Neodiprion lecontei: one gene and its partner. The main gene of each other region encodes a partner of the protein of the gene in region 2 in a complex. Links are inferred from orthologs where the notes say so. Each region holds a gene or a part of one and is shown on either strand. Other genes may lie near its edges.

Region 1 (3,930 bases), on a different chromosome or scaffold from region 2:
ATCGAATTATGAAACGAATCATAAATGACGAAACTTTGAAATCTTCTTCTGAAATTTAAACTTCAAATGTGTAAGTTACCTACTTCGTCCAGATTTTAAGTGTTTGGTAACTTGTCTTAAATTCGCAGATATGTAGAATTCATGGATTTAATTTACATTCAACGGTTATAATAAATGTTATCCCTCTCACCCGTTCCTAAATTTCGATGTAAGTAAATTTGGCCGTCTGTTTTAGGAAAAATAAAGAAATTGCAAGATGGGTTACAGGAGAAAATAAAAAGGTGCTCGGGTCTATAGGAATAATATTTATTAAAAACTGGGCTCACATTACAATACAAATATCGAATGCATTAAATGCTAAATAATTGTGATAAACTTACATGGCTCCAAAACTGAGAACGGACATTATGATCTGATGTAAAGGAACTTATTGACGTAAAGTGTAAAATGATATTTTTATACATCTCAAATAAATTAAATACTTTGGTGTAAAACTGTGCGTAAACAAGGGGAAGAGAAAAGAGACTTCTCCATTTTAATACAGAAGTGATTTAATCCAAACAGATCGTTTTTACGACGTATTGACTATTGATTTATTTCTTCAATTCTTTATGATCAAATCTGTTGCTAAAAAATTGATGAGGAGATACGAGAAAAAGAAAGGATGATTACGTAAAGCGGTGAAAATTTTAAGATCACAAATCGTTACTCGCTAATCTGTTCTCAATCGATCAAATGTGAGAGAAAAGTAATGATGTATAAATTATATTACATAATTCAAAACGGAAATATTAATCGTTCTCAATTAGTGCCATGGTACTTGATTAGGATGACTGATGGAACCCAGCTTGTAGTACCTTGTGGTGGATAGCGGTGCCTGAGTTCCTGAGATCGAGTGACTCGGAGGTGTTGCTATCTGTGGAATTTCGGCACTGTGAGCCGAGGTTCCATCTCCCTTCAAAACTGCTACACATTTCCAATTATTCACGTAATTATCTTTCCATAAACGAACGCAGCCGTCATCTCCTGAACTCGCTAATATGGTTCCCATTATGTTCCAGCACACTCGCCACACCGTACAATAGTGATCATCAAATTGGGCAGCAGTCGTAATTTCAAACCGAGACAAACCGCTTTGAGCCGCATCTCTGAGGAGAAAAAAGAACACTTGAGGAGCAATTTTTTTGAATTTTTCAATGCCAATCATCATGCGAGAGTATTTTCTTAAAAACAATTTCTTCCCACTTTTAGCGAAACTTACTGCATTGGTTTTAGCGTTACAATCCGTACATCTTTGGTGGCTATCGCTAAAGTGTGAAAACTACGTCCCAAGTTGGGTGCGAATGCAATATCGTGCACGGGGTCAACGACGTTGGATAATGTCTCTGTTTTTGTCCACCGTCTATTGTTTTCTGAGTATTCGTATATGAAGACCTTGCCGCCACTTGATGCATTCGAGTCGTCGCTGCCAACTGCGAGCATAGGTGGGTGGAGCCTGAAAAAAAAGGAAAAGCACTGCACTTCCCCTTATTTTTTAGGTGTTCAGTTCCAGCAATATTGAAGAAAATTTTGACTATATATACCGCGACAATGAAGGATTCCATGTTAAACAACTGCATGGAAGTTTACAGCTAATTTCATGCTGCAGAGTCCACTGGCTCAGGTTCATCACATCTGGTGCTTCGTAAATTCTGATCACTCCATCCGCGCTACAGGTCGCAAGGAGAAGACCGAGAGTCTTTGGCGCAAACTTAACATCTGTTACTGACGTCCGAGAGTCGACCAAGTTGGTCCGCCGCACCCAATGTCGCATCCCTCGTTCACCGGAGCCTGAACCTTCGCCAACTGAAATTTGATTCGTACAATCAATACAAATGCTCTGCTGCTTATCGTTTTCCAATCCAAGATCAGAAATTTATACCAATTTCTTCCCAGACCGCTGCAGTTCTATCAAATGAACACGTCGCCAAAACCTGACCAAACTCGGGATGCGCCCAGGTTACTTTCCACACAGATCCGCTGTGTGCTTTCCATGATGCTGTCAAGTGCCAGTTATCGTGTTCGTCCTCGTCCCAAACCTAAGAAAAAAACATAACAAAATGAAAGCGTGAACGAGAATACTGCTGTAATATCAATTTTGGCAAAGTGAAGGAGTAGAGAAGAAAATATGTGATTATGCGAATGAAGTTGAGAATATGCGTGAAATGAGCGAGAAATTCGAAATTCGGTTGGAAGCTCTACTCACTTTGACAAACTGGTCGCTGGAACATGTTGCCATGCGTTGGCCATAAAAATCGTAAGCTATGTCATGTATCAGGTCCTTGTGTTCGGCATTTATACTATGGGCTTCAAACATTTTCTACTCTATCATCAACAATCACTTGGATTTAATATTAACAAACCACGCCGCTGTTTTTTCCGCCTCTGGCGTACTTGCAACTCTACTCCTATTCCAACGGAAAACTAGTTTTAAGATTACAGGTTATGATTTCGGATGAGGAAAACTTAAGATTGAGGTTAGGATCGTGATAGAATACGCCAAGTTGAGATGGGATACTTTCGCCTAGCTTTACGCGAATCAGTTACCCGCCCTTCATTTCAGAGATTTATACTCGCAGTTGCCTATATGCAGGCGCAACACAAAATTACACGTCCGCATGAAACATTTACTTAAAAAATTTGTTACTTCCATCTAAAACAATTTTTTAGCTCTACCAACAGCTCGATTCAAAGATAAACCAGAAATGAGTACTTGAAAAAACTTTCGAAGCTTTGTTAATCTCTTGTTTTCATCTATCGGCTAAATCGAATATTTAGTAAATTCCGATAAAACTGTTCATTCGGCTATTCTTACAAAACATACATTTCTCTGTTCACGTAATTGTCTTGAACAGTGGTTCAAGATTTTTCGGACTATTGATTCCAAAATCAAAGTAAGCCTTTTCAAATATAGGAGCAAAATGAAGATGGTTGATTCAATATGATGAATTGAAATGGATTTTGTATTCATCGACGATGGAAAATATATTTTCAATTAGTTTGCTCCAACGTGTAAAATCAGTAAGTTGTATTGGCTCGATATCAACACTTAAACTCGTATTCTTTTGTAGTTCCAATATCACAATATCATATACGGACTAAAGAAAATAAACCAATAATTTATGACTAACATCGTAGTTCTGAATCATCACAACAAATGCACTTGTATAGAGACATGGAAAATTATTATGAATATAAATGCAAAATCAGGGAATTATCAGGCTAGTTGGTCAATTCGATTCTTCAAAGACTCCGAATCGAACCAGAGAAAGGTAATTAAATAATTTAATTCGAAAGTAACATTCACTAAAATTCATGTTATATACAGCGACTTGAGTATAATACGAGTTGTTCATAAATATTCCAAATAATTACTTCACACTGAGATTCGTTGAAAAAATACACGTTCACTTATGAATATCTGTACAACAAAAAAAATTTTTTCATTCATCGTTAAGAACTGATTCATTCTAAAAAGTTTTCACAAACTGCTACAGTCCATGTGTCATATTTCGCGGTCAGTGTTGCACAATAGTACCAGATCTACCTCTAACGCATGTTGACATACAGCAGCGTGTTTTGGTTATATCTACACGTAATAGTGTACTCTTCGAATACCAATAAATGTATTTGAACTTGAGGGGATGACGGTTGACTCATGGGGCCTAGCGAGGTTATTCTCCTTATCTTCCTAGAGTATTTCGCTCGTGCAAATAAAACTACTCCGCTAACGCTGAGAGCTGCCGCATTTTCAAGACAATTTACCATTCTTTGGTGATCCTCGGTGAAGAGTGTTTCGCTGTTGCGTTGTTGTTTCGTCTGGGATGGACTCGACACAGGATCCGTTCACGCGGGTATGTAGAATCAAAAGTAACCGCACACTATCAAAGA
Region 2 (3,930 bases):
CTCGTCGCTGACGCACATCTGTTTAGGCAGAATGAAATTGATCATCTTCAAATGATAAAAATCGAGAACTCGACAACCAAATCAAAAGGAAATACCTGTTCCAAAGTTGTGATCAGCTGTCTTAAACAGGGCTCTAAGCAGGATCGATTCTTCCTAACTCGTTGTTGAGCGGTCTGCTTCAGTACCTTCGAGAGCTTTGCCATCGCTGTATTGTCTATGGTTGTTCCAGGACAGAATTGAAAGGTCGGTGACGCATTGTATGGGTAATTACCAGGAAAGTTTACTTTCAATATAACATTGTAATTTTTATTTGACGCTGTGACCGTACAGCTTCGTTGCTCTGCATCCATAGCGTTCACCTGAGATGCGAAACACAGAATACATTACAAGTGAGTCTGGAAATAATCGAAACGATGCAAAAATCACGAGTAAATTTACCTCAATGTTTGGAATGTTCACATTGATCAATGAAAATTCTTGCTGTAACGTTTTTGGCTGAGTCGGCGATAAAACATCTTTGTCGCTTGTTGAGTAAGTGAGCGACTCTATGCCCATTTTACCTCCGTCAATTTTTGACATGACAAAATTCATTTCTCTGTCGGTCGGTGTATCTTGAAGCTCGAGCTGTTGCATAGAACGTAACGTCCCTGAGAATTTTATTAGCCAGTCATTGCAAATACAATAGCGATTCTCCTCATAATTTCGTACTTGAAGCTTGCGATACACTCACTCAGGTTATTGTCTTCTGTGTACGGAGTATAGACAGATGTTCCATCATCCAAATCGTGTCCGCATAGCTAAAACGTGCAAGGATTGATTTTATTTGTGTTATAAGTAATTTTTAGTAGCAACATCGTCGTTTCATGAGTCTTAGATTTTGTGAATTCTCAATACAGAGTTATGAACTGAATTATATGATGATTATAGTGATTACCTTTTGTAGAAATGGATCGATTTTGAATATTCTCAGGCATTGATCTTTGGACCAAGTTATCAATTCAAAGTCATTCGGTGCTGCGATAGGAAAATAAGTTATTGTTGCCCTTTGACATCATTTAATACGGCGCAATCAAATATTTTACTGCAAAAACCCCTCTTGGAATACCTTTTTTCTGATGCCTCCACTGAAACTCTAGCACAACGTCAGTGTGCCCTATAAACGTGTAAATTGGAGCTGTAAGATTCGAGGTGTTCCACAGTAGCAGACTATTTTCCCCTCGCCTGAGCTGTGGCACAACTATTGTAACCAGACCTTCCCCAAATGGCTACAAGCAGACGTAAATGAGATTTTGAAAATCTTTCACGACTTTCTTGCAATTATTTGATACAGTTAGCAATACAGATGATTAAATTTTACCGTGTATCTGGCTCTCCACACAGGTGCACTTGTCGTCAAAATGCTTTCTGCTCTTCGTGGATTACTGACATCAAATATTTTCACTGTACAGTCCTGACTAGAAGTCGCCAATTGATTTTGTTGAAAAGGACACCAGTCCAGGCCATGTATCTTGAAAGACAAGAGGCCACTTATCCCAAATGTACCAAGTCAGTAAATAATACGAAGATTGTTCAAACGATTGTGAAAATTCACAACATTCGGACGTTCGTGCTATACATTTTAAACCAAGCACCACACAAGTTACAGTTTCCCCTGTTCAATGTCCTCGGTTTATAAGCATTCACACAAAAATAATTGGGAAAGAAAACCAAACTAATACCTTAGTTAAATGAGCAGCTATGTACTGCATCGGACTATTCCCTTTCCTCTGGTCCCATATTTTGATGTCGCCATCATGCGCAGTGGCCACAATGTGTGGGGACAGACAGTTCCATCTGACCTGAGATGCTCCGGCTAAAATGAGATTTTTCATCAAACAACTATTATGTAACAATTGTTGAAACATAAAAACAAAATTGGGACTTTTACCAACAGCAGATAGCGACAAGCAGGGCCTACGCTGATCTCTAATGTCCCAAATGTGTATGAATGTGTCTATGCTGCACGAGGCGAGAATGTCAGGCTCAGTGGGATGCCAGTTCAAGTCACTAACAACACGCGTATGTGCTCTGAGGCTATGCGTCGTTGTGAGATCACGTCCATCTCCACCAACAAAATTGAGTATTTCGACTCTGTTGTTACTCTGTAGAAAGAAAACAATGAGCCTCTCCTTATTTATCGATGCTTTTTCTACTTACGGATATAGCGCAAAGGTGACAATTCTGAGAGTTGGGATTCCATTCGGCAGAGCCAACTTCGTACTTGCTCTGACGTTGGAATTTTCGCAGGGTGTCCGTGCCTTCGTCCAGGTGCTTGACGGCAAAGCATCTTCGCCTGCAGAGCCAATGAATCGGTATATTTGAGAGGCTTTATAGGAATCTGGTCGAAAGCATTGAAACTCACCCGGCCAGAAGAACGAAGCTCCCGGTTGTGTCAACCGCCATAGTATTGGCCTGGTGCATGTGGAGAAAGCTAATTATTTGAGGTTTGGGGCGAAGCTCGATTACAAAGATCTTGAGCAACCGTGGTTAGTTTGAGTTAGTTTTTTAGTGGGGGCGACGCGAGTCGCTTGGCTTACCTGCAAATCCCGGTGCTCGGCGACCACATAATCGCTACCCCAACGTTTTGACATTTTCAGAAATGACAGGGGACCTCGACATCGTTTGATGAAATTTGAGGTTATAATGAATCGTTGTGTACGCATGTAAATATTTAAACTTGTGACAGAGTGCAGCACTATCTGATCGGCATGACAGAATCCCTGTGTAATAGGATGAATTAGGCTCGATTGGTATTGGATTGGTACAGTTTGCGGGTGTCATTTTACGTTACAATCAAAGCAAAAAACAAATATAATTACATTTCGTTCTTTTTTAAATAATCATAACGTACACTTCCCAATTTAATTATTTTGGTTTTGAACATTTTAGAATTACATATTTCAGACTTCAAGAACTCGCGGTCATCATTCAACATCCGTAGGGTTGGCAACATGCATCGCTATTCGATGAATTCAAAATCGAAAAAACAGTTGCCGGCAGAATTTCAAATGGCGACTATCCGTGACGGCTTCAACGCAGCGCTGTTTCGAATAAATTTCGTGAGCTTTTGGAACGAACAGCGGGCTTAGCATTGATCAGAATATACCTACATAAACCTTTATTCAAACGTGCGAATGAATATCAGGTTAACTGTCAGATGTGGCTGTGCAGGTATCGCGGATTCCATTTCCCCGAGTTCGGAAAGATTTGCTAATGGTAAATGTTCCGTGTACGTAATAATACGTCTATAATGGTGTGTAAATATCAGCCAGCAGTGACAAACATTGAGTTCATAATTCCCCGAGTGTCTGAGATGGTTAACCAAAAGGTTGGAATAATAAAGAGTGAGTCAAGTTTGTACGCGCGATATAAGTAATCCTTGCTGTGTTTGCGGTTTCGAGTAAGTTTGAAATTCTAACTGACAACGTGCATTTTTAGTGATTGAGAGTGGACACACCGGAGCAAATCACGGACGTCGTGGGAGCCAACTGCTATCAACAGTAACGTGAAATCTTATTTCCACTAAAATCATGCGCGTTAACAATCGCGGCAGCATCTTGCAAACCTTCCGATACTTAATTCTTTCCAATATCATTGTGATTTTTTCATCTCGACCCTGTTCCACGAGACAAAAAAAGTCAAGAAAGATCGATTCTTATCCAATATCAAAATCATAAAGCACAATGGAGCTACCAGCTATGAATAAAACTCAATGGTGAAAGTCTCAAGTATCTATACTAGACCCAGTTTCATGGAGGAGGAGGATAAAAGCGATGCACCAATATATTGTTAAATGCTGAAGTATATTTATTTATTTATTTTCAATTTAAGAATACATTTAAGAAGTTTGTAGTTCCACGGTGTATATATCGATAATTTTTATCTTTGATT

The links.
Region 1: GATOR complex protein WDR59 (region 2) and nucleoporin SEH1-A share a complex: the UniProt entries of both Drosophila melanogaster proteins name them as parts of the GATOR complex. The link is inferred for Neodiprion lecontei from reciprocal best matches to the Drosophila melanogaster genes Wdr59 and Nup44A.

The regions. Positions count from the first base shown.
Region 1 is NC_060260.1:39,269,705-39,273,634, reverse strand, and holds the start of nucleoporin SEH1-A, read right to left. Parts: upstream 2,531-3,930; 5' UTR 2,357-2,530; coding exon 2,246-2,356; intron 2,079-2,245; coding exon 1,922-2,078; intron 1,846-1,921; coding exon 1,584-1,845; intron 1,496-1,583; coding exon 1,262-1,495; intron 1,149-1,261; coding exon 858-1,148; coding exon of another isoform or gene 806-857; exon of another isoform or gene 291-805; intron 1-290. Other genes in the region: anillin-like protein 1, read left to right, coding at 3,864-3,893. UniProt on the Drosophila melanogaster protein: Probable component of the nuclear pore complex (NPC). Involved in maintaining the localization of another nucleoporin Mgtor to the nuclear envelope of early meiotic female germline cells.
Region 2 is NC_060264.1:23,548,687-23,552,616, reverse strand, and holds the start of GATOR complex protein WDR59, read right to left. Parts: upstream 2,728-3,930; 5' UTR 2,703-2,727; coding exon 2,577-2,702; intron 2,452-2,576; coding exon 2,402-2,451; intron 2,333-2,401; coding exon 2,197-2,332; intron 2,142-2,196; coding exon 1,928-2,141; intron 1,853-1,927; coding exon 1,719-1,852; intron 1,508-1,718; coding exon 1,358-1,507; intron 1,266-1,357; coding exon 1,106-1,265; intron 1,015-1,105; coding exon 935-1,014; intron 798-934; coding exon 731-797; intron 648-730; coding exon 439-647; intron 360-438; coding exon 96-359; intron 19-95; coding exon 1-18. UniProt on the Drosophila melanogaster protein: A component of the GATOR complex, which functions as a regulator of the amino acid-sensing branch of the mTORC1 signaling pathway.